Linked DNA regions of Stegostoma tigrinum. The protein of the gene in region 2 interacts with the protein of the main gene of each other region in a biochemical or structural test. Links are inferred from orthologs where the notes say so. Each region holds a gene or a part of one and is shown on either strand. Other genes may lie near its edges.

The links.
Region 1: the proteins of fga (region 2) and plat form a complex in vitro, tested with the Homo sapiens proteins (2 studies listed by BioGRID). The link is inferred for Stegostoma tigrinum from reciprocal best matches to the Homo sapiens genes FGA and PLAT.
Region 3: of the proteins of fga (region 2) and extracellular serine/threonine protein kinase FAM20C-like, one has a biochemical effect on the other in vitro, tested with the Homo sapiens proteins (2 studies listed by IntAct). The link is inferred for Stegostoma tigrinum from reciprocal best matches to the Homo sapiens genes FGA and FAM20C.

The regions. Positions count from the first base shown.
Region 1 is NC_081393.1:16,072,548-16,083,864, forward strand, and holds the start of plat (tissue-type plasminogen activator), read right to left. Parts: upstream 4,821-11,317; 5' UTR 4,706-4,820; intron 4,596-4,705; exon of another isoform or gene 4,416-4,595; intron 1-4,415. UniProt on the Homo sapiens protein: Converts the abundant, but inactive, zymogen plasminogen to plasmin by hydrolyzing a single Arg-Val bond in plasminogen.
Region 2 is NC_081354.1:53,995,318-54,006,200, reverse strand, and holds the start of fga (fibrinogen alpha chain), read left to right. Parts: upstream 1-6,603; 5' UTR 6,604-6,675; coding exon 6,676-6,729; intron 6,730-8,307; coding exon 8,308-8,424; intron 8,425-8,513; coding exon 8,514-8,697; intron 8,698-9,270; coding exon 9,271-9,416; intron 9,417-10,883. UniProt on the Homo sapiens protein: Cleaved by the protease thrombin to yield monomers which, together with fibrinogen beta (FGB) and fibrinogen gamma (FGG), polymerize to form an insoluble fibrin matrix. Fibrin has a major function in hemostasis as one of the primary components of blood clots.
Region 3 is NC_081376.1:36,613,605-36,624,425, forward strand, and holds the start of extracellular serine/threonine protein kinase FAM20C-like, read left to right. Parts: upstream 1-6,310; 5' UTR 6,311-7,003; coding exon 7,004-7,584; intron 7,585-9,682; coding exon 9,683-9,855; intron 9,856-10,821. UniProt on the Homo sapiens protein: Golgi serine/threonine protein kinase that phosphorylates secretory pathway proteins within Ser-x-Glu/pSer motifs and plays a key role in biomineralization of bones and teeth.

The DNA.
Region 1 (11,317 bases), on a different chromosome or scaffold from region 2:
ATGTTGGATGAAGGATAATTAAAGTTCTGGTTGTTGAGAACATCCTGCTCTTCTTCAAACAATGCCTTGGATTCTCACCCATATGTTAGAACAAATGGGACTTCGAGATAACGTTTCATCCAAAATTCAGTGCATCCAACAGTGCAATTTTTCCCTCGGTCCAGTCCTTGCAACAGTGCAAGGCTCCATCAGTGCTGATCAGCAATAATGAAATGTTTCCTCTAAACTGACCATCCAGTGGTGCAGCACTTTCTCAGAACTAACCTCCCAACAGTGTAGCACTCCCTCAGTACTGTCTCTGCAACAAAGAAATGGTGTCTCAGTACTACCCTCCAACAGTGCAATACTTCCGCAATGCTCCCTCAGACCTTTACTTCAACAGTATAGCAATCCCTTAATGAAGCCCCTCCCAAAGTTCAGTCCTCATGGTACATTCCCTCAATCCCGCTCCTGGAAGATTGCAACACTCTCTTACACTGTTCCTGCAACATCGGTCTCTCAATACTTTACTCTGATAGGGCACCATTCCCAAGGTACTGGTCAGGGCTGAGGACAAAGGCACATCAGGGCTCAATAACTGGAGTCGGAAACTTTTGGGGTCTGTTGAGCTTGCGTTGGGGGGTGTGGATGGGATAGTTGTGCTTAACTTGTGGGCAGGGTCACTTGGCTCATGCTAGGTATGGGGCCAAGGTTGGAGATCTAAGCCATGAGCAGCACCAGGCCCCATATTTCTGTTTCTGCATTTATCAGAGTTGAGTGGTCCCTCAGCGCTGCCCCTGTAATAGTGCAGCACTCCTTCAATATTGTCACTCCAGCTGGCTGATTACCCTTAATACTGCCCTTGACAGTGCAGAGTTATTCAGGTACTGATGCCCCAAGTGTGTAACACTGTCTTAATTCTGCTCCTCCAATAGTGAAGCAAGCCCTCAAAGCTGACCCTCTGACATTATAGTGATTTCCCCCAGACTGTACTTCGACAGTGCAGTGTTCCCTCAGTACTGCAATGGAAAATCAGCTAAGTACTTTTGCTGTAGCTGCTGGAACTTGAATAGACAACCTTCTAACTCAGCAGCTAGATGGCTACCAACTGAACTGATAACGCTGCAGTCCTGAGATCTTGACAGTCAGTGGGCTCTCTCTATAGCTTGGAGGAATAGCTTTCCCTTTTTATTCTTCTCTGGCACTGAGGCCTTTGTTCTGGAGGATAAACCCCATGCCCACATCTCTTGCATTCTATCTCCACTGCAGCCTCCCTGTGTATCCTCTATCTTCCTGTCACCTCATTCTGCTCTCTCTCAATATTCCTGCAGCACTATTACCAATCACTGCGCTAGTTAATAGGTTACCAGAGATGGGATAGAAGAAGGGGAAATGGTTGTATTATGAGCAGTCTTAGCAACTCATTGATCAGACATTGACATGTTAATCACAATTTCAAATTGCAGACAATGCAAGTCCAACATTTCTCTGCTTAATATGGTCAGGAATGAGATTGGGGATGTGTGTGTTAAAACGTTACTACATTGTGTACCTACAGCACAGCTGTCAGCCACACCTTGTAGTGGTCTGGCTTTCCAAGGGTTGGGTGCGGAACAATGAAAACCACGAAGATATGAGGGGATCTCCAAGCATTCAATCACCTGGTATAGAACTGACACTCAAAGCTTGTGACTCAGAGATACTGGTTATCCACTGGTTCAAAGAGAAAGTTAACTAATTTTACTGTAGGTAGAAGTTACTAACACTGATTACTTGATTTATTGCTATCACCATTATAATCCAGCATGATATCTTGAATATTTTTCAATAAATCAGGAAGCAACTTCGAGTCTGATGGAGGGTCCTTTTTCAGCTTCTGATGAAGGGTCTAGGCCTGAGACATCAGCTTTCCTGCTCCTAAGATGCTACTTGGCCTGCTGTGTTCATCCAGTTCTACACCTTGTTATCCCTTGAGTCTGATGGAATTTAGTTGCCAAAAACGTTCATCTCCTCCTCCTCCTTTTGTTTCACCATGGACAGACTTGACTTCAGCTGTTCTCAACTTAAATTCAGAAATTTACTACTGATACATCTCTCTTTTCTCTTTCAAAAGCCAGTTTTCAAGGCCTTATGGTTTGGAATTTCTTCCCTTTGCACCTCTCTCGCTTCTTCCTTTAAAGCCATATTCCACCTCTTTAACCAAACCCCTCCATGCCATTGTTGATGCCAAGTTTTTCAGCTTCTTAGAATATCATCTCAGCTGTTAATTTACACCACCTTGTGGCATTGTGTTGATGGAGTCCCTGACTTGAGTTGGAAGAGACATAATTTCTCACCAATTGTTCAGAATGCATCTGCTGCTAGACTTCAACTGCTATGTCCAGGATTGACTCCTGAGCTGCACATAGGATAAGCTACTTGATGTGGTTTTCAACCAAACTGAGGTCGCTGCAGTCACTGCACAGGATACTTACCACCGTATGATCCCAGTGCCCCTCATCAGCCCCAGTCATAAACTACTTGATTGTCAAATACATTGATTGCTAATTTGGTTTCTTTGTTTCAGATCAGAACACAGCATCTGATTAAGAGAATAAAGAACATCCTCTTCTGTTTCTGGTTGCAGAATGACCTCTACAGATCGGTGGTTTGGATCTGTCCAGATCATGCAGGCAGCTGAGGAACATCCACACATTTATCATTGCAATGGTAGTTATTCTTACATTGCACTAAGGAATGGTTTGTGTAGCATCTCTAGTGTGATTTAGGTGGGTTGTTAAGGATGCTAATATCTCAGTATTCTCGGCCTCCAAAGCATATTATCCGTGTGCATATATTCTATACAGATGTAATCTGCACAATTTAAAGGCTTTTGGGTGAATAATTGATATCTCCTCCTCCCCAACAGATGCATGTGCAGAATGACATGGAGATAACAGACTGGCAAAAGGAGAATGCTCTCAGCCGAAAGACAAACTCAATGGAATGGGGTCCACGACTACTATCAATGATTTAAAAGAAAACAAAAAACTTTGGATGCTGGAAATCAAGTGATTATTGCAAAATCCTGTTTGATTCATTGATGCCCTTTCGGGAAGAAGATTTGCCATTCTTACCTCATCTGGCTTACGTAAGATTCCAAACTCATAGCAATGTGGTCAGTACTTAAGTGCTCCCTGAAATGGCCCAACAAACCACACTGTTCCAAATCAATTAGGGATACACTATAAGTAATGGCCTTGCCAGCAGTGGCCACATCCCAGAAAGGGATAAAGAAAAATAATTGTGGTAACTACAACCGTGAAACAGTAATGTTTCAATCAGGTGGTATGCAGTGTAGGGGGAGCTAACCAGGCTGTGCCTGTCCCAGTTTAAACTTGGGAGATTGCACGTTGGGGTTAACTAACTCCTCAATCAAACTGGTGACTGAACAGAGATAGTAAGAACTACTGATGCTGGAGTCATAGATAACACAGTGTGGAGGTGGAGGAACAAAGCGGGCTAAGCAGCATCGGAGGAGCAGGAAAGTTGATGTTTTGGGCCAGGACCCTTCTTCAGCTTTCCTACTCCTCTGATGCTGCCACACCTGCTATAATCCTCCAGCTCCACGCTGTTTCATTGGTGACTGAATAGGCCTTGCAGCAGTCAGATATCTAACCTGAGCACTTCTTCCTCCTATAATAGTAATGCTGGCCTGTAAATTTGAATTTAGTAGGAGATACATGGCAGTGCTCACACTGAACATGTTACATTCGCGCTGTTTCAGAAAGTTCACAAACATTAAAAATTTACCTCCAGCCAAGTGTTTGTTACCCAGGAATAGTTGATTGCAGTGGCCAGTGTCAGTTCAGATAACCCCGGGTGCGTTTATCTCTACTGAGTTAATGTAGTTCGTTACAATTGGATTGGGCTAATTCAGTTAACCTGGATTAATTCTTGTAGCCCAGGTTACCAAAACCAGAGCAGTAATTTAGTTATTGCAGATGAGTTTGTTTGGTCTTGGTTAAAACAGCTTGAATTGAGCTTGAATGCAGAGTTCAATGCAGTTTTTGTTCAGTTAGCCTGGATTTGTTGTATTAATCCAGAATAAAGTTATTAGCCAAGGTTAATCAATCAGGATTAAAACCAGAATTTTCCACAATGCTACCAGACCTGCTGAGCTTTTCCAGCAATTTTTATTTTTGTTTCTGATTCCAGCACCCACAGTTTTTTTCCCCTGATTTTATTTAGCTCATCGGGATGATTTTAGTCTGCCAAATTTGGTACAAACTAACCAGATTGGTTAAATAATTATCCCGGATTAGTTAATATAGGCTAATTTAGTTAGCTAGGGTTGTTTTAAATGAAACGGGTTACTTAAAGCTAGCTACTGAATTTAACCCGGATTAGTTTAGTTTGCTAGGGTGCGCTAACCTGGACCATGTGATGACATTTCCCCCCCGGGCAAGAACCCGGAAGTTGAGTTTGGCGAGAATTACAAACATTCTGGGGTAAATTCGAGGAGGGCGGCAGAAACACCACCTTGTAAAAGGATCAAATCCAAATTCTCTGTTCTGAAGTTTCTAGAAAGAGTGAAGAAGAGACACAGAAAGACCCCAGCCCGCAGCGTGCCTTGGGTAAGCGACTTTCCCCCCGCCCCGCGACCCGTTTACCTTTCCTAGCGTCTGTCTAAATCTCCACTTTACCGTGGGTTTGCTGCAAGTCATTGGAGAAAATCATCTCTCACCGTAATTACCCAAGGGAAACCGGTCAAAGAACTCATTGGCTTGTCTTGACTTCATATTCAGCATATCTAGAGGGACGGGTTACAGGAAGTTGCTCTCTCAGTCCACCAGTGTGTCCTATCTGAGTCAGCCAGTGATTCCCATAATCTCAGATTGCATCGTGGCCACACTTCTCGGTCTGCCAGTGTCTCCCCGAGTTTCCATCTGCCAATTATTTTCTGAGCCCGAATTTACCAGTGTGACCCTATCTGTCAGTGTCTCACTCTGCCAGTGTGTCAGTGTCTCAGTCTACTATTGTGTTTTTGAATCTCATTCTGTTAGTGTGCCCTTGTCTCTCAGTCTGCCAAGCCATCCACATCAGTAAATATGGTATCTCTGTCAACCAATGCATTCCTGTCTCTCTGTACAATATCAGGAAATCGCAAAAGGCATTGTTATAGCCAGAGCTGTGGGCACTGTCAATATTCTAACAAGAGTACTAAGCACTTGTGTTTTGTCATTAGCTGTTCCAGTGCAGCTGCTACACTGACAGTGTGGAAAATTGTCCAGTTATGTCTTGTGCGCTAAGAGCAAGACAAACCAACTCGGCCAATTACAACACCTGATGCCCACCCTACCCCCAATTGCCCATCAATCTCCTCTTGATTGTTGATAAATTGGTGGAATGTGTCATCAGTTGTCATTGTTATCAGCACAGAAAATGAACAGAGCATTAGATAGAGTTATTTGAAACTGTTAAACATTGCATAAATGAGTTTTTTGCTTCTGTCTTTACGAAAGAAACGAACTTTGTAGTGAATGAAACCTTTGAAGAGCAGGTGTGCATGCTGGAATGGATAGAGATAGAGGAAGCTGATGTGCTGAAAATTTTGTCAAACATTAAGATTGACAAGTCGCCAGGCCCGGACCAGATTTGTCCTCGGCTGCTTTGGGAAGCAAGAAATGCAATTGCTTCGCCACTTGCGAAGATCTTTGCATCCTCGCTCTCCACTGGAGTCGTACCTGAGGACTGGAGAGAGGCAAATGTAATTCCTCTCTTCAAGAAAGGAAATAGGGAAATCCCCGGCAATTATAAACCGGTAAGTCTCACGTCTGTCGTCTGCAAGGTGTTAGAAAGGATTCTGAGGGATAAGATTTATGACCATCTGGAAGAGCATGGCTTGATCAAATACAGTCAACACGGCTTTGTGAGGGGTAGGTCATGCCTTACAAACCTTATCGAGTTTTTTGAGGATGTGACTAGAAAAGTTGATGAGGGTCGAGCTGTGGATGTGGTGTATATGGACTTCAGTAAGGCATTTGATAAGGTTCCCCATGGTAGGCTCATTCAGAAGGTCAGGAGGAATGGGATACAGGGGAACTTAGCTGCTTGGATACAGAATTGGCTGGCCAACAGAAGACAGCGAGTGGTAGTAGAAGGAAAATATTCTGCCTGGAAGTCAGTGGTGAGTGGGGTTCCACAGGGCTCTGTCCTTGGGCCTCTACTGTTTGTAATTTTTATTAATGACTTGGATGAGGGGATTGAAGGATGGGTCAGCAAGTTTGCAGACGACACAAAGGTCGGAGGTGTCGTTGACAGTGTAGAGGGCTGTTGTAGGCTGTAGCGGGACATTGACAGGATGCAGAGATGGGCTGAGAGGTGGCAGATGGAGTTCAACCTGGATAAATGCGAGGTGATGCATTTTGGAAGGTCGAATTTGAAAGCTGAGTACAGGATTAAGGATAGGATTCTTGGCAGCGTGGAGGAACAGAGGGATCTTGGTGTGCAGATACATAGATCCCTTAAAATGGCCACCCAAGTGGACAGGGTTGTTAAGAAAGCATATGGTGTTTTGGCTTTCATTAACAGGGGGATTGAGTTTAAGAGTCGTGAGATCTTGTTGCAGCTCTATAAAACTTTGGTTAGACCGCACTTGGAATACTGCGTCCAGTTCTGGGCACCCTATTATAGGAAAGATGTGGATGCTTTGGAGAGGGTTCAGAGGAGGTTTACCAGGATGCTGCCTGGACTGGAGGGCTTATCTTATGAAGAGAGGTTGACTGAGCTCGGTCTCTTTTCATTGGAGAAAAGGAGGAGGAGAGGGGACCTAATTGAGGTATACAAGATAATGAGAGGCATAGATAGAGTTGATAGCCAGAGACTATTTCCCAGGGCAGAAATGGCTAGCACGAGGGGTCATAGTTTTAAGCTGGTTGGTGGAAAGTATAGAGGGGATGTCAGAGGCAGGTTCTTTACGCAGAGAGTTGTGAGAGCATGGAATGCGTTGCCAGCAGCAGTTGTGGAAGCAAGGTCATTGGGGTCATTTAAGAGACTGCTGGACATGTATATGGTCACAGAAATTTGAGGGTGCATACATGAGGATCAATGGTCGGCACAACATTGTGGGCTAAAGGGCCTGTTCTGTGCTGTAATGTTCTATGTTCTATGTTCTATGTAAATTTTAAAGAAAGAGGTTGAAGATTCAGTAGCCACGTGGCACAAGTTCAAGGTGACTAACAAAAGAACACAGTGAAAAGTTATTTTGCAATAACTGATTTGGGTTTGGAATGAATAGTCTTGGGCTGCTTTAAACAGAATCAATATTTTTTGCACAAGTGAACTGCAGAATTACTTGGAGCAAAGATTGAGGATGCTTGTTAAGGAACAGGGAATAGGAATAACTGGATTGTTTGTCAGGAACTGTCATGAACTTGATGAGCTAAATGGCTGTGCAATCATTTTCAATTTCATAAAATCACTACAATGTGGAAACAGGGCATTTGGCCTAACACATGCACACTGCTTCTCTGAAGCGTCCCACTCAGACCCATGTTCCTACCCTAAGAACCTGCATCTCCCATGGCTAACATACTTAATCTACACAGCCCTGAACACCAATAAACCAGCACAGCTTTGGACTGTGGGAGGAAATCGGAGCACCTGGTGGAAACCCACACTGATGTAGGGAGAACATGCAAATTGCACACAGACAACGCCAGAGGGTGGAATTGAACCCAGGTCCCTGGTGCTGTGAGGCAGTAGTGCTAACCACTGAGACACTGTGCTGCCCAATGATTCAATGACAGTGCTTTCAGATACCACATCCTCACCAATAACCCTCTCACCAATGTTTCGTTAGGTTTCCGCCAGGGCATTTGGCTTCTGTTCACATTGCAGCTTTGTTCCAAACACTGATGAGGGCTGAATTCAAAAGGTAAGTTGAGAATGACTGCTCCTGACATTAACGCAGCATATGACCAAGCATTACATCAAGGACCCCTTCCTAAAAAGCATTTAATGAGCACGCTCCATTAGTTGGAGTCCTGCCTAGCACACAGAAGTACTGTTGTATTTGTTGGAGCCAATCGTCTTTGTTCTCAAACATCACTGAGGAAGGTCCTTGCTGGACCCGTTCCTAGGCCTACACTACAGGGTAGATATTTTCTATTCAACCTGTTCACACATAAAGGGGAGATGATGGCCTAATGGTATTATCGCTGAACTGTTAATTCGGAGACCCTGGTAATGTTTTCAGGACCTGATGGCAGATGGTGGAATTTGAATTCAAAAAAATCTGTAACTAAAAGTCTAATGATGACCTTGAAACTATTGTCAAATATTGGGGAAAAACCTATCTAGTTCACTAATGTCCTTGAGGGAGGAAAATTGCCATCTTTACCTGGACCAGACTGCATGTGACTGCAGACTGATAGCAATGCAGTTGACTCTTAACTGTCCCTAATGGGCAATTAGGGATGGGCACTAATGTTGATCTAGTCAGCCGTGCCCTGTTCCTGAGAATGAATTTTAAAACAAGAATTATTTCACACTTGGAGCAGGTAGGGCTTGAACTTGGGCCTCCTGGCTCACAGCTACCACAAGCCCCTTGTAAGAGTCCTTGGCCAAAACATCATCTGCTGTTTCATTGACATTCCCTCCATCATAAGATCAAGCATAGAGATGGTCACAAATGAGTGATATTCAGTACCATTTGTAACTCCTCAGAAACAATGAGGGCCCACTTACAACATTACCTGGACAAGATTCTGGCTTAGACTGATAAATAGCAAATAATCTTTCTCTTACAAGTGTAAGATTTCAAATGACAGAGAATCTGTACTCTTCCTGTCTTTACTTTCTGGCCATTGGTGTTCAATTGCTTTAACACCAGGTGGTCTGATCAGCAAGTTTGCAGATGACACTAAGATTGGTGGAGTAGCAGATAGTGAAGGGGACTGTCAGAGATCACAGCGGAACATAGATATGCTGGAGAGTTGGGCAGATAAATGGCAGATGGAGTTCAATCCGGGCAAATGTGACGTGATGCATTTTGGAAGATCAAATTCAAGGGCGAACACTACAGTAAATAGAAAAGTCTGAGGGAAAATTGATGAACAGAGACCTGGGTGTTCAGGTCAATTGTTCTCTGAAGGTGACAACGCAGGTCAATAGGGTGGTCAAGAAGGCATATGGCATGCTTTCCTTCATTGGACGGGGTATTGAGTACAAGAGTTGGCAGGTCATGTTGCAGTTGTATAGGACTTTGGTTCAGCCACATTTGGAGTACTGTGTACAGTTCTGGTCGCCACATTACCAATAGGATGTGGATGCTTTGGAGACGGTGCAGAGGAGATTCACCAGGATGTTGCCTGGTATGGCGGGTGCTAGCTATGAAGAGAGGTTGAGTAGATTAGGATTATTTTCATTAGAAAGATGGAGATTGAGGGGGGACCTGACTGAAGTCTACAAAATCATGAGGGGTATAGACAGGGTGGATAGCAAGAAGCTTTTTCCCAGAGTGCGGGACTCAATTACTAGGGGTCATGAGTTCAAAGTGAGAGGAGGAATGTTTAAGGGAGATATGCGTGGAAAGTTCTTTACACAGAGGGTGGTGGGTGCCTGGAACGCATTGCCAGCGGAGGTGGTAGACGCAGACACATTAGCATCTTAAAAGATGCATTTGGACAGGTACATGGATGGGCAGGGAGCAAATGGACACAGACCCTTAGAAAATAGATGACAGGTTAGACATAGGCTCTCGACTGGCGCAGGCTTGGAGGGCCGAAGGGCCAGTTCCTGTGCTGTAATTTTCTTTGTTCTTAACACTGCTGAATCAACATCCAGGGGTTCCCAATGACAAGAAACTGAACTGGACCAGCCATATAAACCATATGGCTTTGAGAGCAATTCAGAGGCTGGGAAGTCTGCAGTGAATGACTCACCTCCTGACCACCTAAAGCTTCTCCACATCTGTGGGTGCACCAAGACAGCACATTATCAGCAGGTCAAGAATGTGGTTCATGACCACATGCTAGGGAAGTTATTTGTTTATTTAGCATGCATATTATCATGGAACCACGAAATAACCTTGCCAATGGCAAGATGGAATTTTTAAAGCCAGCCTTCACTTTAGTCAGAGGACACTCCTTGACAATGTGAGTTCTTATTTGGCCTGCATCGTAGAAGTGATCTTGATGGTCTTGGTTGGTTGGTGCTGGCTTAATTTCATTTCTAATTCTTGGAAACACTGGTGTAATTTCAGGCATTTCAATGTGATTGGGCATGATACCAATGTGCAACTTGTGTTACTATTTAGAACACCGTCGGGAAGCAATTCTTCACAAAGTTGGGGGTTAAATTCTGGAATTCTCACCCTCAAAAAAGCTGTTGAGGCAGAAGTTCAATTGAACACTTTAGAATGGAGATTAGCTGACTTTTGTATTTATTTTCAAACTTTAATGAGATGTGGGCATTGCTGACAAGGCCAGCATTTGTTGTTAGTCCCTAAAAGCCATTGAACTAATTGGTTTATTGAACCATTTGGTAGAAATAGTTAAAAGGCAACGTCATTCTTCTGAGCCAATAGAATAGACCAGGCAAGGACAGCAGATTTTGTTCCCGAAAGTACATGAATGAAATTGATGACTTAGTCAATGATAATTATCATAGTCTCCACAATGACACCAGCTTTCAATTCCAGATATTATTCATTGAATTTAAATTCCACCAACTGCCATGGTGGGGTTTGAACCAGTGCCCAAAGAGTATGAGCCTGAGCTTCTGGATTACTCATCAAATTACACTACCATTACATCTGCTCCCTTTAAGACAAGGTATTAATAGATATAGAACCAAGGTGAGTAGAGGGAGGTAAGATTCAGATTAACCATGATTTGATTGATGAACAGAACAGGTTTGAGGGGCTGAATTGCCACCTCTTGTTCCTCTTTTTCCATTGAACAGCAGAATTTGCTTCTGCAAACTATCATAATTCCATTTTGCTTCCGTAATAAACAATAATTCAGGTTGAAATTAACAGTCACTTGGACAAATGTGAACTAATGCAGCAGCATGGATTTGATGAGGGCAAATAAATTATTCGAGTTACTTCATGACGTAACACAATGGGTAAATAAGATAATGCAACACATAGATAACTAGGTTGTCAATAAAGCTAAAGATCATGGATTAAAAGGGATAGTCGCGTTCACCCTGTTAAGCTCTTTAAGAATCCTTTATGTTTCAATGAGATCACTTCTCATTCTTCTAAACTCCAGTGAGTAGAGTCCCAACCTGTTGAGCCTTTGCCCATGAGACAGTCCTCCAAACTAGGGATTATCCTAGTGAACTTTCT
Region 2 (10,883 bases):
ACTCCAAACAGATTTCCCTTTGATTCCCATTGACCCCGGTTGGCTAGGGCTAGTTTTGAACCTTGATGTAATAGGCAATCATCAGTGCTCTCTCTAAGCTGCACAGCCATTCTGAGGTTCCACGTATGTTGGTCAGAAAGACGATGCATTGGTTTCAAGTCTCTGAAGTTGCTGCTTTCAGAAAACTTAGAGATCCATGTGCTGAAGAAAGAATTAGAGGGAGTACGCAGTACTGGGTCACTTTCACCTCGCCTCTGTAATTCAGCTCTTTGAATTACATAGAGGCTAAACGGCCCTGGAGCAAACCAAACTGAATGTCAGTAAGCAGGTCATTGCTGGGTAAGCACCATTTGATAATGTCACAACTTTTATCACTTCATTGATGATCAAGAGTTGACCTTGTCAGGTTAATTTGTTCTTTTTCCCTGTAAAAATGGAAGCATGGCATCTAACCTGTTTAATAGAACAGTGTTAGCTAACTCCACAGTAGCTGTTTTGATTTGGGAAACGTTTAGGCCTTCTTCCTATTTTCTTTTATTCTCCACTGTCCTTACTACCTGACATAAAGTTGTGGCATCTCCTTCTCCTTCAACACATTGATGTGCCACAGCCACTTCTTTTCCTGTCAGTCTGGGATGTTAATTAGATCACTTAATTTACCAGTCTTTTTTAACTACTCTGTATGGACCATTGAGACGTGCTCTCAGTGGCTCATCTTTTAAAGACAGTAATATGAACATCTCATGCCTGAATTGAAGTGTTTAGGCCATAAACAAATTGAAAAGAAATGAAACCAATAGATTCACTTGATCAATCCCATGTGGCAAACAAAGGAAATTGCAGTCCTTAACAATAAGGATATTCATGAAAATCAGCTCTGGTCATCATTTTGAGGATTTGATTTGTCCAAACCTCCATGTTTCTGTTAGGGATGTGCAGAAATTTTTACCTGTTTTATACCACCCAACTACATATGACTTCTTGATAAACTGTCTATGATTGGGAAATTGTTGAAATCCATCATTAGGAACTAGCAGTATGAAGCTTGGAAAGTCAGAGTGCAATCCATTGCAGTCAGCATGGTTTTATGAAGGGGAAATCATGTTTGATTCTTTTACCAGAGTTTTTTGAAGATGGGTGACACAGTGGTTCAGCAGTTAGTGCTGATGCCTCACATCGCCAGGGGTCTGGATTTGATTCCAACCTCAGGTGACTGGTCTGTGTGGAGTTTGTACATTCTCCCTGTGTCTGCATGGGTTTCCCTTGGGTGCTCCAGTTCCCTCCCACAGTCTAAAGATGGGAATTTTAGGTGGATTGGCCATGCTAAATTGGCCAGCGTCAAGCAATATGCAGGGTAGATGGATGAGCTGTGGGAAATAGAGGACTACAGGAATAATATATGAGGATGGGGCTGGATGTTCTTTGGAGGGTTGGTGTGGATTTAATGGGCTGAATGGCCTGCTTCCACACTGAAGGGATTCTATGTAATGAACAAAGTGGGCAATGGGTGCGCAGTAGATGGCGTTTCTAGACTTTCAGAAGGCATTTAAAAAGGTGCCACACAAAAAGTTAATACACAAAGTATGATCACTTGGGGTTCACGGTAATATGTTAGCTTGGATAGAGGATTGACTAGCCAACAGAAAGCAGAAAGTCAGGATAAATAAGTTTATTTCTGGTTGGCAAACTGAACTAGTGGGGTGCCAGAGGGTTTGATCCTTGGGGCCCAACTATTTACACACTATATTAATGATTTGGATGCAGGTTAGAATATATCAGAGCCAGTTTTGCAGATGACACAAAAATAGGTGGGAAAGTAAATTGTTCTGCATAAGAATTTTACAAATTGATTTGATAGCTTAGGTGAATGGGCCAAAATTTGGCCCACTCCAGGAGAAGTTAAACATAAATAGGTGAGAGGATTTTCCATTTTGGTCACTAAACTAAAAAGGGGTAACTTGTTACCTAAATGAAAAGAAATTTCAAAATGCTTCAGTACAGAGGAACTTAGGTGTGTTTGTACACGAGCTGTAGAAAGTTAGCATGCAGTTCCAGCAGATGATAAGGAAAGTAATGGAAATTTGGTGTTTATTGCCACAGGAAAGGAGTGTAAAAATAAGGAATTGTGCTTGCAATTAATCAAATTGCAAATAAAAAGAGGCATTGATGAGACCATATCAGGAGTACTGTGTGCAGTGGGAGGTAAGGTGCAGGGGAAGTGATGTCCTAGTTGCATTATCAATAAACTATCGATTTCATGACCCTGGTGCTGTTCTGGGGATTTGGGCTTACATCATGTCATGGCAGATAGTGGAATCTGATTTCAATAAAAGTCTGGAATTAAGAGTCTACTGATGACCACAAAACCATCGCTGGTTGTTGGAGAAACCCATCTGGTTCATTAATGTCCTTTCGGGAAGGAAATCCACCATCCTTATCTGGTTTGACCGATGTGCAACTTCACAGCAATGTATTTGGTTCGTAGGGAAGAGTGATAAATGTTGGCCCTGCCAATGACATCCACATCCTGTGAATTAATTAAAGAAGGAGTTTGGTCCTTTTTCTTGAGGAGGGATATTGTTTACACATGGGATGTGGGTATCACTGGCTATGCCTGTCTCTAGTTGTCTTTGAGGAGGTGGGGGCAAAATCTGCCCTCTTGAACAGCTGCAGTCCATGTGTTATAAGTTGACCCACAGTATCTTTACAGAGGGAATTCCAGGATTTCCATCCAGTGACAATGATACATTTCCAAGTCAGGAAGATGAGAGGCTTGCAGGGAAACTTGCAGTGGTGGTGTTCATATTTATCTGCACTTGACATCCTAGATGGAAGTGGTCATGGAATGGGTAGCCATAGTGAATTATTGCAGTGCGCCTTATGGATAGTACACACTGCTGCTACTGAGTGTCAGTGGAGGAGGGAGTGAATGTTGGTGGATGTGGTTCTAATTAAGCGAGCTGCATTGTCTTGCATGATATCAACCTTCTTGAGTGTTGTTCGAGCTGCAGCCATCCATGCAAGTGGGGAGTATTCCATCACACTCCTGACTTGTGCCTTGTAGATGGTAGTCAAGATCTGAGGAGTCAGAAAGCAAGACACTTACTATAGAATTCCTTCCTCACAGCTTCCTTCAAACATTTCCCTTTGGGAAAGTGGCATCAGTGGATTTACATCAACACATGAGAAAACTGAAAAAGCCTGATTTGTTTTTTATATGAAGGAGCAAGGCTCAAGGTCTGTAAATTAATGAGTGCCTTGGACAATAGTTCAGTCAGTTATTTAGCTTATGGTATCACTTAAGATTGAAAGGACATCTTTGCAGATTAGCATGTCTAGACCAAACATATTGATTTCTTACACAAACAGTAGTATATTTGTGAAATAAACTCTGAAAAATAAGTAACAAACACTGTGTTCATTAACTCAGAAAAAGTTGATGCTGTATCTACTTCGCAATAGAATTTGAAGGCTACAGTGATACGTTAACACAGAAAAACATTACAAAATCCACAGAACACAGTAATTCCTGTGCTTTTGTAATCATGGAAATTCTATTCATAAAATATAAATGTCCATGGTTCAAAACATAATGCTGTAATAATTAATCTTTGGATCAGATTATCTTATATAGGCATTTTATCTTCCTGAATATTTACTATGGTTACTGATCTTGTTCATCATATTTGTTGTGTTTGAATGTGCAAATTGTACCATGTATGCTAGAAAGAATACATTTAATGAAATGGGCTTTTCTCGTTCATACATTTTATCCTTCTGATTTTATACTGCTGTGTTTAGTCACTGACGTCCGATGACTTGGCCCTGAAGGCAATGCTCTGTGGATGTTCACAATCCAAGAAAAAGAAATGGTTGTGGTATTTCTTGTGTGAATGGGTGTTCAACTGTTATTGTCTGTACAAGAAGAAAATGCTTAAAAAGTGCCGACTGGTACAAAAATTGCTCTAGTGAAGGATTATGAGGTAACAATAAATCAGTACAGAAAAGTTGCAGGTGCTTGTCAAACCAAAATGTGTTCTTCCAGGGAGAACCTGGAAGAATGCTGATCCCAGGAGGAGATGTCAATGAGAGGAGTTAGGTTCATATTAATGTCAGAATTGCCCAAATAATTGCCTACACTGCAGGAACTGTCTATCATGGATCTCCCATTAGAGAGTTTAGAGATTACTGGAGTCTAATTTCCTTTTAGTGAAGGAGTGCAGTTTGGAAAGCTAAGGTTGGAAAGGCTTCACAAGCCATAGTTACAGAGACATCAGTATCAGCTATTCATAATGTTCTGGCTTAAACAGATCCGTATAATACCTCAGGAGACAATTGTCAAACAACCCAGCAGGATCTGTGCCTCTTTTACCTAATCTCTTGCTACCCACCATTCAGAGTGCAGCCAGATAAATGACCCTTGACTAGAAGTCTCAGATAGGCATTTGATCATTGCAGGCCAGCGTATGAGTCAGAGAGAGTAAGTCACCAGGGTAATTTATGTTTGGGGAGTACAGCTTGCCATGTTGGGGTTATCGGAGTAGACATCAGAGCACCCTGCATTCATATAGCCCTCCAATACTCAATAACAAGTGTTACTGAACTAGAGAATATTGGTCCTGTATGAAAGCAGGCAGAAATCATATATGGCAGCAATCAAAGCTGAAAGTTTTATATACCAGTGTGCTTTTTGCATTGTCATGCCCAAATATCGCAAAGTGGCCAGTGTCAATGTATCAGTAAGAGTGACACCTCCAGACCCTGGCCGAGGATAGCATGTTTGAGTGGTCAGCAGAACATGTGCACAGAGACCAACCAGGCATAGCAGGAGATTGCCACCATTGAAGACAAGAGGTGAACCACAAAAGATCTTGGAATGAGTGCGGTGAGAAGTTTCACGGTCTGCTGTCCTCTGCCAAGATGCAGTGTTCTGCAGAAGCACACAAAGGTCCAAGTGATGGCTCAACGCTGAAGGTTGACCTTATAGTGGTAAGCATAGCAATACCACCCCTCCATCATGAGGTCAGAAGTGGGGATAGTCACTGATGATTGTGTAATGTTCAGCACAATGTGTGACTCCACAGATACTGAAGCAGTCCGTATTCAAAGGTAGCAAGATCATGACTATATCCAGGCTTGGGATTATAAGCGGCAAGTAGCATTCACACCACACAAGTGCCGAGCTATGACATTCAATGGTGTCATCATCTCTGAATCCCCCACAATCAACATCCTCAAGGTTACCATTAATCAGAAATTCAAGTGGACTTGCCACATAAACATAAAGTCTACAAGGGTAGTTGAGAGGCTAGGTGTACAACATCAAGTAATTCACCTCCTGATCCCCCAAAGCTTGTCCATTATCTACAAGGCATAAGTCAGGAGTGTCCACATCCCGTGAGTTGATATTAAAATCCTCTTCTACAGCATGGACATTTGTGTCTCTAATGTTCTCCAGTAAGGCTGTACAGTTATGGGTTGAAATATGACCGATTATGATACACTGTCAGATTCAAGAGCATTGTCATGATGGCACTGACTAATAGGCTAACATCAGTCTGCATCTTGTACTTTTTGTTTTAGTTAACTCATAGAACGTGAGTGTTGCTGGCTGGTCAGCATATATTTTCCATGGATAGAGGACGAGAGAGTTGCAGTGGGAGAGAGATTCCCTGAGGTTTGTCTCGATGGAGGAGGGTAACTTCTTCAGGGTAGGCATCCTTAGAAGAGACTTTGCAGTGGGGTTAAAAATATTTCAGAGATGATAGTAGCTGCAGATGCTGGAGAATCTGAGATAGCAAGGTGTTGAGCTGGATGAACAGCAGCATCATAGGAGCAGGAAGGCTGACGTTTCGGGCCTTCACCAGAAATGGGGGAGGGGAAAGGGGTTCTGAAATAAATAGGGAGAGAGGGGGAGGTGGATAGAAGATGGATAGAGGATGAGAGAGTTTTAGAATCCCCTTCCCCTCCCCTATTTCTGGTGAAGGGTCTAGGCCCAAAACATCAGCTTTCCTGCTCCTAAGATGCTGCTTGGCCTGCTGTGTCCATCCAGCTCCACACCGTGTTTTCTCAGATTCTCCAGCATCTGCAGTTCCTATTATCTCTGATATATTTTCCATCCCCAGTTGCCCTTGAGAAAGTCGTGGTGAGCTGCCTCTTGAACTGCTGCACTCCATGGTACTGTGGGGTGACCCACAATGCCCTTAGGGAGATAACTGCAGAATATTGTGATAACGACAGTGAAGGAATTTTTAATTACAAATTACTATCAATTCAAATTGCACATGATGGATTTCAAGCCTAATTTTCCAGAACATTACATTGGTCTCTGGTTTATACATACAGCAACAATACCACAGTGCTATTACCTATACTTGTTGTTGAGCCATCTGTATTAAAAACATAGTGGAGTTGCCACAGAAATTCCATGTTGTAGTTGCTTAAAGGTTTCACAGGCTTTAGCATCTATTGACCTTTGGTGCGTCAACAAAGCATCAGAAAAAAAACCCAAGAATTTCAGAAAGGCCTCGGTGGTAAATGATCAACAGGGCCTCCACAATTTAGGTAAACAGGTTTCCCACTAACACTGACTGATCACGATTTTGTAGGTTTGAAATTTGGTGTAAGGGAGAGAGAAGTGACTTTTCCTCAAAGCCTTGCTGCAGAACTAGAAAGATGAGAGCTAAACAAGCCTTTGGTTTGTTTGTATGCTTCATGTTAGTTGACTGGGTAAGTTTTCCTTATGAATAAGTCATACACAGAGGATACATTGTGAAGATCCAGCGGCTCTGATTTATATCCTGAGAGTAGGCCAACCTAATAACTCCTTCATAACAAAGTTAGGAAGGAGTTGTGAACTGTATTGAGAGTGGGATATAAATCAAATCCCATTACACTTCAAAAGTAATGGTCTTTCTGTAACATGTTGGCAATTAATCCGTATTGATTTAGGTAAATTTAATGAAGTGAAATGGGGCGCTATATCCCTTTGCAGATTGGTCCTTGTGAATGTAGGGGCACTGTGATTGTGATTTGCAGCAGGAAGTAGGTTTGGAAAATATAAGAATCAATCTTTGAAGGAAAATCAGTTTTTGTCGTATGAGTATAATGACATCATCTCCGTGGAAAACAAAATATTCAATCAAAGGTTATTATAATCTCTGATGTCATTACTATCATCTCCAGTGAAGTGAGCATAAAACATACGCAATTATTATCTCATGTGTTGTTAAGGCTTCATGTATACAGCTACTTTCACACATGTCAAGTAGTTTTGGGTCCATATTGATGTGAAAATTGGGGTAGAACATGGAAGTGAGGTTCCAAAGAAATATCAAGTGTCCTGAGGTACAGACAGAAGACAGAGGTCATCTCATAACAATCTGGCTTGGCTCCAAATGCATTCTTACTCCATTCTGGTAGAAAGCCAAGGTGGTAGACTGAACCTTCTCCAGAAGATCAAAGAAAGGAGGAAGTGGACACTCCCACCTGCTATTTCCTAATATTATAAATTAGCCATCATGGAGTTTATTTGCTTCTGTTGTACAATTTGGTCTCTTAATTCAGTATGTTTGTCAGGCAGTTGCCTATTACTATAACTTCAAGTAGCTTCACTCCAAATTAATATGACATCATGGGAAGTATGTTTAATGCTCAAATTTTTAAATTATAAAATTTTTGAAATCAAAGATGGAACAACAGTAAGGTGACATGCTCTACCACTCTGACACCTAGTCAAAAAGATTTAAGCTCCCACTTTATCTGCAATTTTTCCCAATGGAAGTGAAGCTATTTATTTCTTACTGTAGTGCTGTATTCTTACTGTAAATGCATGGATTTTTTAAATGCTTGTTTTCAACAGTGAAAACATGAAAATATATCCAATGTTTAGAAGAATTTCATGCATTTTATTATGTGAGGCCATAAATGCTGTCTGATCATGATTGTAAATTTCGTGAAGCAATGGAGTCTGTTATTGAAGAGAATATGTTATTTTCACACATAAGTTATCCCTTGTTCAAGGGATAGTAGGAACTGCTGATGCTGGAAAATCTGAGATAACAAGGTGTAGAGCTGGATGAACACAGCAGGCCAAGCGGCATCAGAGGAGCAGGAAGACTGATGTTTTGGGCCTAATCTAGGTTTGAAACGTCAGCCTTCCTACTCCTCTGATGCTGCTTGGCTGCTGTGTTCATCCAGCTCTACACATTGTTATCTTTGTTCAAAGGAACATGCCAGGTTGATGATTGTAGATCAGTGTCGAATATGTCAAAGGATTCCCTTTTTATTGATTTCTTACAATTGAAGATTCAGGCCCAGTCTTCCCCTGCACCTTGGGGTCCTCAACCCATTGGAAATGGCGACCAATTTAAATCTACTCAGTGTTCAGAGAAGAAATGGCAGATTTGTATGAATTGTGACTGGGTAAGTAATGCAGTTGTCACTTCATTTTTTTGAGAAATTATACATTGCAAATAACTAAAATATTTTATAATTTTGCCTAAATTCAATAGGGCTCTAAATGTCCATCTGGGTGTAGAATTCAGGGATTAATCAAGACTGAGAATCAACAAACTGATAACAGGATCCAAGCAATTCGACAGATGTTGGACATATATTCCACAGCATTTGAGAATACCCATATTACTGCGACTGAAGCTGTCAACAGAATCAGACAGACTCTAAGCAAGATAGGTGGTGAGTGGTTTATAGAAACGTAGAATCCCTACAGTGTTGAAACAGGCCCTTTGGCCCAACAAGTCCATACTGACCCTCAAAGCATCCCACCCATCCCGCATTACCTACCTAATCTACACATCCCTGAATGCTACAGGAAATTTAGCATGGCCAATCCACCGAGCCTGCATATCTTTGGAGTGTGGGAGGAAACTGCAAGCACCTGGAGGAAACCCACACAGACACTGGGAGAAGGTGCAAACTCCACACAGGCAGTGGCCCAAGGGTGGAATAGAACCCAGATCCCTGGCTCTGTGCCACTGAGTGACTATGCCGTTCCTCTGTTCATGTTTCTTAAAAGTGTCAGCTTTTATTTCCATACAAATTAAAATTGAATCACAAACTCAGATTATCACAATAGCGCATCCGTTGAGGATTGTGCAACTACAAAATTCCCCTCCCAATTAATTCAGATTCAGGAAATGCAGCTTCGACATTCATTTGGATTTAGTTCAAATTACTAATTTATTTAAAAAATGTACTTGCAGAACCCAATGAAAAACTAAATAGAAGAATTTATTTGTCATCTTTTAGGACTTGGCGACACTTATTATCAGTTGGTGGATCATCTGAATTCCAGGCTTACCATGTTGCAGAACAAAACTAACGATCAAAGTCTCAAGTTAAAAATACTAAAAGATAACATGTTAGAACAATTCAAGGTTGTCTCAAGACTGGAGGTAATTTTTTATTTCGTTTATTTGTGAGAAGTGGACATCATTGGCTGGCCAGCACTTATTACCCGTCCCTTATTGCCCTTGAGAAGGTAGTTCTGAGCTGCCTTCGTGAGCCACTGCGGTCTATTTATTATTCATTTTGAAAGTGCAATGCTTTCACTCTGAAAGTTGCAAAGTCTGCCATTTTTATTTACAATATTAACCCTAATACAGTAACTATTAATGTCATGATAACAAAGCGGGTAGCTGGATGAACACAGCAGGCCAAGCAACATCTCAGGAGCACAAAAGCTGACGTTTCGGGCCTAGACCCTTCATCAGAGAGGGGGATGGGGTGAGGGTTCTGGAATAAATAGGGAGAGAGGGGGAGGCGGACCGAAGATGGAGAGAAAAGAAGATAGGTGGAGAGGAGAGTATAGGTGGGGAGGTAGGGAGGGGATAGGTCAGTCCATGGAGGATGGCAGGTCAAGGAAGCGAGATGAGGTTAGTAGGTAGGAAATGGAGGTGTGGCTTGAGGTGGGAGGAGGGGATAAGTGAGAGGAAGAACAGGTTAGGGAGGCGGGGAACAAGCTGGGCTGGTTTTGGGATGCAATGGGGGAAGGGGAGATTTTGAAGCTTGTGAAGTCCACATTGATACCATTGGGTTGCAGTGTTCCCAAGCGGAATATGAGTTGCTGTTCCTGCAACCTTTGGGTGGCATCATTGTGGCACTGCAGGAGGCCCATGATGGACATATTGTCTAAGAAATGGGAGGAGGAGTTAAAATGGTTCGTGACTGGAAGGTGCAGTTGTTTATTGCGAACCGAGCATAGGTGTTCTGCAAAGCGGTCCCCAATCCTCCACTTGGTTTCCCCTATGTAGAGAAAGCCACACTGGGTACAGTGGATGCAGTATACCACATTGGCAGATGTGCAGGTGAACCTCTGCTTAATATGGAAAGTCATCTTGGGGCCTGGGATGGGGGTGAGGGTGGAGGTGTGGAGGCAAGTGTAGCACTTCCTGCAGTTGCAGTGGAAGGTGCCGGGTGTGGTGGGGTTGGAGGGGAGTGTGGAGCAGACAAGGGAGTCGCGGAGAGAGTCGTCTCTCCGGAAGGCAGACAAGGGTGGTGATGGAAAAATGTCTTGGGTGGTGGGGTTGGATTGTAGATGGCAGAAGTGTCAGAGGATGATACGTTGTATCCGGAGGTTGTTGGGGTGGTATGTGAGGTTGAGGGGGATCCTCTTAGGGCGGTTTTTGTTGGGGGCGGGGTGTGAGGGATGTGTTGCGGGAAATGCGGGAGACACGGTCAAGGGTGTTCTCGACCACTGTGGGGGGGATGTTGCAGTCCTTGAAGAACGTGGACATCTGGAATGTGCGGGAGTGGAATGCCTCATCCTGGGAGCAGATGCGGTGGAGGCGAAGGAATTGGGAATAGGGGATGGAATTTTTGCAGGAAGGTGGGTGGGAGGAGGTATATTCTAGGTAGCTGTG
Region 3 (10,821 bases), on a different chromosome or scaffold from region 2:
CTACATGTGATATAGCACAGCATCTGACATTATATACAAGTCACATATACCATTGGCTCTAATAGCATACTGACATAAAATATGTAAGAACTCCTCGTCGTATGTTATCATAGAGTGAAACACCATCTGTCTTAAGAACTTTTAGAAACATGTTTTTGAATGGGACTTAAAGTTTTGAATCATTGAAAATCAAGTCTTATTGCTGCATACCAATACTTTGGTGCAAAACAGTTACTACAATTTTACAAATGGAAGGATAATCAATATGAGCAGTTTGACAGGCTGGCGTGCCCTAACACGGATTGTGTTGTCTTCCCATAGTAGGCCGTGACTGAAGGCTATAATCTGGGGATCCATGTCAGGGCTGAATATTCCTTTCATGTGTCATCCTGTTCATGTGCATGCAGCTCTCTGAGTTACTCAGCAACATATTGAAACTGAGCCACTTTTAATAGACAGAAACTAACCTGAAATTGGGCAATACAACTCATTGGAAAATAGACAAACAGCTTAAGTAATTGTCACATCCTCAACACACCCCAAGGCGCTTCATCCACAACATCTTTCACAATTTGAAATGTCATCATGTGCTAGTAAATGTTGTAGCTGCACAGAAAGACAGGGATGACAACAAAATGGATGAATGCTAGTCAAGACACCATACCTCAGGAATACTATGTTGGTTTTGGCAGTGTAGTTTCATTAAAATAATACTGGGCCTGAAGAGTTTATATGATGTGGATGGTTTGCAGAAACTCGACATGTGTTCCCTTGATGATAGAAAATAAGTTTCAGTTTTAAAATAAGGGGTCAGCCGTTTAGAACAGAGTTGAGGAAAATCTTCTTCTCCCACAGAGTGGAATGGAATGCTGTGCCCCAGAAGTCAGTGGAGACCAACTCTCCGGATACGTTAAAGAAAGAGATGGATGGAGCTCTTAAAGATAGTGGAATCAAGGGTCATGGGGATAAGGCAGGTACAGGATACTGATTGTGGATGATCAGCCATGATCATAATGAATGGTGGTGCTGGCTCGAAGGGCCAAATGGCCTACTCCAGCACTTATTGTCTGTTGTCTAATAAAGGACTAATGAACTAAACTAAAGTGTTTAAGATAAGGCAGGCAGAGGTGAACACTTACTTCTGTGGGGAATAGAGCCCAGAACAAAGAGTATAACCTTAAAATTAAAACTGAACCATTCAGGACTGATTCAGGAAGCATTTATTCACAGATAAGGTGATGAAAATCTATAACTGTGCCGTCTGAAAGCCTGGAAGTCCATTTGAAAAATTGCAAACTGAGTCTAACTTTTTTTTGTTAGGTAATGGTATAAATCAATATGAAGCTATGGGGTGGGGACAGGAATTAAAAGCAAGAATCTGTCATAGAGTCATACAGCATGGAAACAAACCATTCAGGCCAGCTAGTCCACACCAATCACGTTTCCCAAACTAGTCTAGTTTCATTTGCCTGTGTTTGGCGCATATCCCTCTAAACCTTTCCTATTCAGGTACCTGTCCAAATGTCTTCTGAGTGTTGTAACTGTACCTGCATCCATCACTTCCTCTGGCAGTTCATTCCACACACTACGTTTGTGTGAAAAGGTTGTCTCTCGGGTGCCATTTAAATGTTTATTCCTCTCACGTTAAACCTGTGCCCTCCAGTTTTGGACTCCCCAAACCTCGGGAAAAAACCTTTGCTATTCGCCTTCTTGATGCGCCTCACGATTTTGTAAACATTTACAAGGTCACCTCTCAGCCTCCATCACTACAGTGAAAGATCTCCTTAAAATCCAAACCCTCCAGTCCTGGCAACAGCCTGGTAACTGTTGTCTGAACCCTCTCCAATTTAATAATTTCCTTCCTATGGCAGGGAGAGCAGTAGTACATACAGTGCTCCAAAAGTGGCTTCACCAACATTCTGTACAACCTCAACATGACATCCCAACTCCTATACTGGAAGGTCTGAGCAATGAAGGCAGGCATGCTAAACACCTTCTTAATCACCCTACCCACCTCTGATGCAAACTTCAAAGAGCTATGTACCTAAACCCCTAGGGCTCTGTTGGACAACTCTACCAAGGGCCCCAAGATAATAAAATGTGAGGCTGGATGAACACAGCAGGCCAAGCAGCATCTCAGGAGCACAAAAGCTGACGTTTCGGGCCTGGACCCTTCATCAGAGAGGGGGATGGGGAGAGGGAACTGGAATAAATAGGGAGAGAGGGGGAAGCGGACCGAAGATGGAGAGTAAAGAAGATAGGTGGAGAGAGTATAGGTGGGTCCTCTACCAAGGGCCCTACCATTAACTGCAAAAGCCCTGCCCTTGTTTGCTTTACCAAGATGCAATATCTTAATTAAACTTCATTTTCCACTCCTCAGCCCACTGGCCCAATCTTTTTGTTATCTTTAGATAACCTTCTTCACTCTCGACTGTGCAACATGATTTGATTGAAGGATAAAATGGGACTCCAGGACTGAACGGTTTCCCCTTTCAAGCCTGTTGCAATGTCAAGATGAATAGATTTTGGATTATCAAGCATTCACCCAGGCGGTGTTAATAAATATGCTGTTAAATTCGCCTACGTGACGATGGTTAGTGAACTTCCAAAGCCGTTCATTCTAAGAAGGTCTCGATAAGGTGCTATATAAATTCACCGACAGATAAACGCAGTGAAATGATATTATTGGCGCCCTAGCCCATCCTCCCATCCAAAAAAATGAGGTGCCGAGACGATCTTGCGCGTTTAATGAAATCTACAAGGGTTGTTTTAACAGAAGTTGAGAACTCTTGAAGTCCCACATTGTTCAGCGGCACGGCCAAGAGGTTAATTATTTTCCGAGATTTATAGCTGCATCTAACCAGGCACTCACGGCTACGACCTGCAAATTTGCAAATTGCTTTCGGGCTGGTTGTCAAAGTGGCAGATAAGAGAGAAATCTACTGTCCGTGTGGACAAAGAGGTATGATACTCCATTCAAATTATACTCGTTATCGGACACGCGCAAAATAAACGAAAAATGTCCTTGTGAAACAAAATAATCACCTTTCTCGTGCAAATATTTTTAATCAGCTTGTTCAAACACGTTGTAATACGTCTTAGGCAGGATGTCTCAAAGCCGGATCTTCTGTGCCAGAGATGGGAAAATTACCACTGTGGCACAAAGGCTCTAACCTTCCCCTTGCAGGCTGCTGGCCCGCTGTGTTCATCCAGCTTCACACCGTTATCTTACAGAGAGGGGACTTTGTTGGGCGCGATCCGCCCTGTTTATGGAAGACTGAGAATTGTACATTCATGAAAGGATTCACAGCAGAGATGGAGGCCGTTCCGCCCATCAAGTCTGTGCCCGCTTCGAATGAGTCATGAGTGGCGAGAAAACGAGACGTGCATTTCTGGGCAGAGATAATGGGAACTGCAGATGCTGGAGAATCCGAGATAACAAAGTCTGAAGCTGGATGAACACAGCAGGGCAAGCAGTATCTTAGGAGCACAAAAGCTGACGTTTCGGACCTAGACCCTTCATCCCGAGACGTCAGCTTTTGTGCTCTTAAGATGCTGCTTGGCCTGCTGTGTTCATCCAGCTTCACACTTTGTTATTGTGCATTTATGGGATCGGGACTATATATTCAGAAATTGAGAGAAACTGGTAGGTTCAGACTAATCTGCGCTGATTGATTTGATATAATAAAATGTGAGGCTGGATGAACACAGCAGGCCAAGCAGCATCTCAGGAGCACAAAAGCTGACGTTTCGGGCCTAGACCCTTCATCAGAGAGCAACGATTGATTTGATTTTTTTTTAAATGGGTCATCGCGTGAAACAGCCGGAAGGAGATTTTGGCCATAACTTTCCTCTCGTCGGAAGGTGATCTCCTTTTAACACAAGGCGCGGAGTCTCTCCTTTGGAGCAGTTAGGATGTTATGGGGTGGAGAACGGAGAGTGAGCAGTCATTGTGGTCACCATCTCAAAGTAACTCTGCTCCTACCACCTCTGCCTGACGTCGGTACTGCAGGCTGCCCGAGTCCTGAGGGAGAGAGATCACTGAGCAATGTTCTTGTGGACTGGGACGTAATTAAAGTCTCTATCGCTGCTGCTAAAATGACAAATCCATTAGCCGAAGGGCTACCTTAGCGATTAACAAATACCTTCATTTTTCTTTCAATATTGGTGCCTTGTAAACTACCAATGTTCTGTCATTGTAACAAGAGATGCACTCAGGGCGATTTCCTTGCGTGGTTCAAATATATAGAACAATACAGCGCAGAACAGGCCCTTTGGCCCTCGATGTTGCGCCGACCTGTGAACTAATCTAATCCCCTCCCCCCTACACTATCCCATCATTATCCATATGCTTATCCAAGGACTGTTTAAATGCCCCTAACGTGGCTGAGTTGACTATATTGGCAGGCAGGGCGTTCCACGCCCTTACCACTCTCCGAGTAAAGAACCTGCCTCTGACATCTGTCTTAAATCTATCACCGCTCGATTTGTAGCTATGCCTATTTGTAGCTTTGTAACAAAAACAAATTTGCTAGAAAAGCTCAGCAGCTCTTGCAGCATCCGTAAAGGAAATCACTATTAAACTAGACAAGTTCTAACGGGCTTTACTGCTGGGCTGAACCTGTGGGAAGTGTTGAAGGAACCAATGAGGTGGAAAAGACAGCAAGAACTATATAATCTGTATCTCTCGCAATGTCAGAGGGTGATGGACGGGATGAGTCATGACGGGCAGATTTGCAGTGAGAACGTTCGGCAGACAGGGAGGGAGCAGACGGATCCCCCGGAAACAGCACGGAGATCTCTCTTCACGATGCTGTCTGGCCCTGCTGAGTCTTTCCAGCATTGTCTGGCTTTATTATACGTTACCCATCTGTAGCGCTCGTTCAAGAGGGACTGGGTTTAACAAGCAGAAACTGAAGGCTGTTCTCTTCCTTACAGGCAGTTGGATTGCAACTTCCCCAGGGTTTTACACATTGTCTGACAGCACATAGTCGAAACGAAGAATCCCGTCAGTTCCGAACTTTTAAGGTTATATGAATATTATACAGGTTTAGAGGGATAGCAGGAACTACCGATGCTGGAAAATCTGTGATAACAAGGTATAGAGCTCGATGGACACAGCAGGCCAAGCAGCATCAGAGGAGCAGGAACGCTGACATTTCGGGTCTAGACCCTTCTTCATTTTCTGAAGAAGTGTCCAGACCTGAAAAGTCAACTTTCCTGCTCCTCTGATGCTGCTTGCCCTGCTGTGTTCACCCAGTTCTACATCTCGTTATCTTAGCTTTAGAGGGATATGGGCCACAAACTGGCAAATGGGACTAGATTAATTTAGGATATCTGGTCGGCACGGACGAGTTGGGCCGAGGGGTCTGTTTCCGTGCTGTACATCTCTGCGATTTTAAATTGTCAGAGTATTTGAATATTCAATGTGCGGCGGGGGTTTATCCCATTTTACATTGGCCATGTTATAGCGATTATAAAAATCAACCTGCTCTTCAACTAACTCGGCAGCAGCCTCAAAGCAGCTCATTTTTCGCCCTATGGATTGTACAGTCCTGCTATCAGTTGCTAACAAGATCCAGGGTTCATCTGAACATAAAAGTGTCAGAATAATGTCATTTCCTCGCGATCTGTTCTGACAGGGAAAATGAAGGCGGCCGGCCAGCGCGGAGACTTGGCTCGGGCAATAGGGACTGTTTGGAAATCAGTCAGGAACAAGGAGACACATTCCACAGGCGAAGTTGTGCAAGGCTGACTGTTTCTGGCTGTGGATCCCTGTCTGTCTCTCTCTCTCGTCTGTCTTTCCCTCCGTACGCCTCCCTTTCTCTTTCAGTCTCTTTCTTCTTTTCTGTTTCCCGTCTTTCTGTTTCTCCCTCTATCCGCCTCTTTCTCAGACCCCTCCCCTCGCCTACCATCCCTGTCTCCCCACCGCCACCTCCACCTCGTTCAGCTTGTGCCTTGCTTTCCCAGTGTCTCTGCCTCTCCCTCGATGTACCTACTTCCGTTTATCCCCTTGTATCACTATATCTCTTTCCATAAATTGTGTTTTCTCGGTAGTTCTGTTTCTTTGTTGGGGGGGGGGGGGGGTGGCTCAAGAGGCCGGTGTGTATGTGCGGTGGGTGTGGAAGGGGGCGTGTGTCATGTAAAGCCGGCCCTTCACTCTGATTGGAAGCCGCGGTGGATGCGTGTTGCCTGAGGTCCTGACTGGGGAGGAGGGGATTTGAAGCTGGCATCAGTTTCCCAACACGCGGGAGTCCAGCCCTCCTCCCAAACGTGACGTTTTCCTTCCCTTCACTGGGGGACGGCTAAATAAAACATTTGCACATCTGGCAGGCTCATAGCTACTGGACTCACACACACATACACACACACACAGACACAGAGGGAAAGACGGAGAGCAAGAGAGATGTTCGCTGCAAGGCTTCATTCACTCTGATCCTGTGACAATCTCACAGCCCCACACCTCTCTCCTTGGGCTGACACATGCGAGGCAGGAGCCTGAGAAGAGAGCGGAGCTGCCTCGTCCTGTTGGAGGAGGGTTTGTAACTGGGCAGTGAGGAGTTTCAACACTGCTCCTTGAGGTGGAGGAGAGACGGGCGGAAGATTTCGTGTGTCTTATGTGTTTCATTTGGACACTCGACCATTGCCGAGGGGTCGCCACCGACATTACATTTTAAAACAAAACATGTTTTAGTTTTCTTCGGGGTGTCTGTTGTGTCTGGTTTTCTGAGTCAATGGAAGGTTAAGGACAAAAAGGAAAACAAACACACACTGCGCCAAATAGATACATTTATTTTCCGCAACTGGGAAGCGCCAGGACTAACGATGGAGACGGGCTCAATGCGGATCCTTCCAAATGAAACGGGCCGCTCTGCAGCTGAATTGAAATCGTTTTAATCTCTTTTAATTTGTTCGGGAGCCTGACTTTTTTTTCTGAGCACTCCCCACCACCACCCCCACCCCGCCCAACCCCACTCCACCTCCCGTCGGCCCGATCCCAGCAATGATGCTGCTCCGCAGATTCCGGGTGCTTATCGTCACGGTGTTTCTGATCGCCTGCACCATGCACATTCTCATTGACTTGCTGCCCAAGCTGGAGCGGAGACCGGAGCCGGGGCTTTCCGGAGGAGGGGCTGGACCGGGCTGCCCCTGTCAGCACCGGGACTCGCTGCTTGTTGGTCCCGAGCTGCAGCCGGGGCTCCCGGCCTGGGGCAAGCCACTAGCTGGGGCCGCTCCTCCAGGAGGGGGTGCCGGAGGAGATGCTGTTGTCTGGCCCAACAAACACACCCTCCGGATCCTGCAGGATTTCAGCAGCGACCAGGCAGCCGGATCGAACCGGAGCGGCTCGCAGACCCTGGCTAAGGCTGAGGAAACCGGACTGAGAGCGGGTGAGGAGCACTACAAGAGGCTGATCCCAGATCGGGTCCTGGAGGCTGTAATCCGAGCTCCCGGCCAGTTCTCCAAACTGACTGCACTCTTCAAACATCCTCTGTACCAGAGCCCGCTCCCAGCACTTACTCAAGGAGAAATCTTGTTCAACATTAATACCGACATAAAATTTAACCCTAAACTTCCCCGCGACTGGTAAGTGAGTTTAACTCGTTCCCGTTTACCCTGCAGTCAGTTCTGTCCCTGGGCTCACTCATGCGGGAAGCCGAGGACTCAGCGCTCACTCCAGCCCGTTCCCCCTCCCTCCCTCAGGCTTTGTAGACGCAGCCCCTACCGGTTTGATGCTGTCGAGAGCTCCGAACTCTCCGTGATTCTCACCCGCCCCCCCGGTCACCGAGAATCCCACAGCCGCCGGTGCAGATCGAGGAACTGTGCGAATTTCTTGAAGACTTAGCTACAGACACCGAGAGCCACACCAGGACATTAGTGCACAGGGAGAGACAGAGAGAGAAAGAGAAAGAGTGGCAGGGGAATAAGTGACAGTTAATGAAAAGCAGTCAGACTCAGAGAGCCAGGAAAATTGTCAACAGTGAGCGAGGGAGAGAGACGGGGCGACGGGGACAGAGGGAGAGGCAGAGAGAGTGACAGCGAGCGGTTGGCAGAGAGAGAGAGAGATAGGGATAGAGACAGAGGGAAACAGAGAGAGGTGAACAGACAGCGATTTAGAGACAGAGACAGCGTCAGAGAGGTAGTGGGAAAGATAGAGACAGAGACAGGCAAACGAGGAGAGGGAGAGCGAAAGGCAGAGAGAGAGATGGAGACAGCAAAAGACAGAAAGCGAGACAGAGGGAAAGGGAGAGAGAGATATAGCAAGTGCGGCAAACAAAGAGAGAGAGAAAGGTGGCCAGAGAAAGTCAGGGGCCAAAGAGAGAAGCAGACCAAATGAGTGATGAAGGGAAGACAAAAAGAGACTAAAAGGGACGCTCAGAGGGAGACAGATAGACAGAAGGACAGACAAGACAAGCAGGAACACACAGAGTTGGGGAATATACGGTGACAGAAAGATGCAGGGGAAATTGAGCGGAGAGACGGAGAGAAAATGTAAGAGAGAGGGAAGAAAGATCGAGGTAAAAGCAAAGCTGCGAAGAAATTCTCACCCTCATAAAGAAGCTTTTCCCGGATGCAAGCTGTGCTTTTGTATCTCATCCTTTCGCCTGCATGGAGTTCTGTCTTTGAGATTGGTATCCCGTACATTTCTAAACCTCTGTAGAGGAACTATCGTTCTGGGCGAGTAAATAGCACAGAATCAATACATTCCCTATCCACCTTTCCCCCCTTTAACATTAAAAAAACCTTCGTCTTCCGCAGAACCAATCTCCGCCAGGTCACCCTCTGTGTTACTGACACAGCGTTCAATGTGGTTTCACTGAACACTGGTACCAGAGTATTATGGCTGTGACCAGGAGCTCTCTCAGCTACATTGACCATCCTCTGCAGCTCTCTAGCAGTGTCCGTGTCTGCCTGTGCCTGCTCTCTCCGTCCTCTCCCTCTGGACCTCACTCTCTACCTACTCTCCTTTCACACCGCTCTGCTTTCTTTGTCTCAGTCATCCCATTGCAACCTTCTTCACATCTGAGATCACTCGCCCTGCTCGCTCTTCCCATGAACTTTGTACCTGTTTCTCCCAGCCCTCTCTTTCCAATCGCCTTATCTGAAGTCATAGCTTTCCTTGAACAGGTTACCGCAGGCGTTATTTTTAATCTGGCATCGCCAGCACCTGGGACGGTATTAGATACCGGGTAGGATCTCCTCTGGTATGGCCAGGCTCTTGTGGAAGGGGGAATTGAGTTTCTGTCGCTGTCGGATGTATATGTAAGAAGCATTCTGTCTCCAAAGTCAAGGACATGTTAAAACTATTGCCTCAATTTTACACGTTGAGGGTCAGATCGCTATTCACAGAAACAGGATTTCCTGGTTTTACAGTCACCCAGTCTGTGTGTCAGCTTATTTTGAAGCTTCGTTTCGGTGGAATTTTCTCTGAGGGCTAAGTGGAAGCGAACTTGGACGCGCCTCTACCCCCGCTCCCCCATCTGTACTTCCCTCTCTTGCTTCTCCTCCATTTCTCGCCCATCTTTCTCTCACACTGTTGTTGTCCACCATTCCCACCTCTTCCCTTCCGTTCCTTTGCTCTCATTTTGGCTGTTTATATCACAAACAAACCCCCTTCCCCAAGTGGTACGGTGACAATGTCGCCAGTAGGTTTGATTCTCCTCCCCCATGCATTCTCTTTCAGGGTGAATGAAGATGAGGAGGGTCTTGCAGCGACTGGCGATCCCCCCATAGACTCGTACCCCAACTGGTTAAAATTTCACATCGGGATAAACCGCTATGAGTTATATTCTCGCCACAATCCAGCCATTGAAGCTTTGCTGGAAGATCTAGTGAGCCAGCGGATCTCCAGCGTAGGTGAGGAAAATCTCTATTTGAATAACTGCTCCCTTGCTCTACCGTGCTTCTTTGTTCTTGCATATTCCGCAAACGCCCTTCCCCGCCCCCGAACTAATTAGACCTTGCTCCCAGTGTCTCAGGATGGAGAAATGCAGTTGAATGTAATCTGTCTTTGTCAGCCGGGATGTAATGAGATAAATTGGAAGCGAGTGCACCTCGGAGGATGCGATACTAAGATTATGGATCTCTCATTGAAAATTATTCCTTGTCTGAGATCATTATCTCTAGTAAGAAGTGCCAGAGAGTGGAGGATGGGAGTTAATAGCTTTTTGGACTGACTTATCCAGCAAATAAATAACATTGATGTCTCAAAGGAGAGATGTGAACAGATACTGCAATTTCATTATATACAAATCTTAAGGTGAGGTTGCTGAGACTCTGTATCCTGAATATGATTTCTAACAAGGATGGTGGCTGAAAGCACCATGCAAATATTTCCAATTCACATGATATGCTGTAGTATCTTAAAAAGCAAGGATAGATCTCATGGAAAACAGGGACAACCAACCTTCTGGATACAGAACTAGCGTGAAGGTAGTGGACAGAGGGTGGTGGTGGAGAGTTTCTTTTCATACCAGAGGCCAATGACCAGTGGTGTGCCATTGGATCGGTGCTGGCTCCACTGCTTTTCATCATTTACATAATTTTTTTTGGATGTGAACATAGGAGGCCTGGTTCATAAGTTTGTAGATGACACCACAATTGGAGGTGCAGCGGACAGTGAAGAAGGCTACCTCAGAGTACAATGGGACGTTGATCAGATGGGCCAATGGGCTGAGGCGTGGCAGGTGCAGTTTAATTTAGATAAATGTGACGTGCTGCATTTTAGAAAGGCAAATCAGGGCTGGACTTATACACTAAATGGTAAGGTCCTTGGGAGTGTTGCTAAACAAAGAGACCTTGGAGATCAGGTTCATTGTGAAA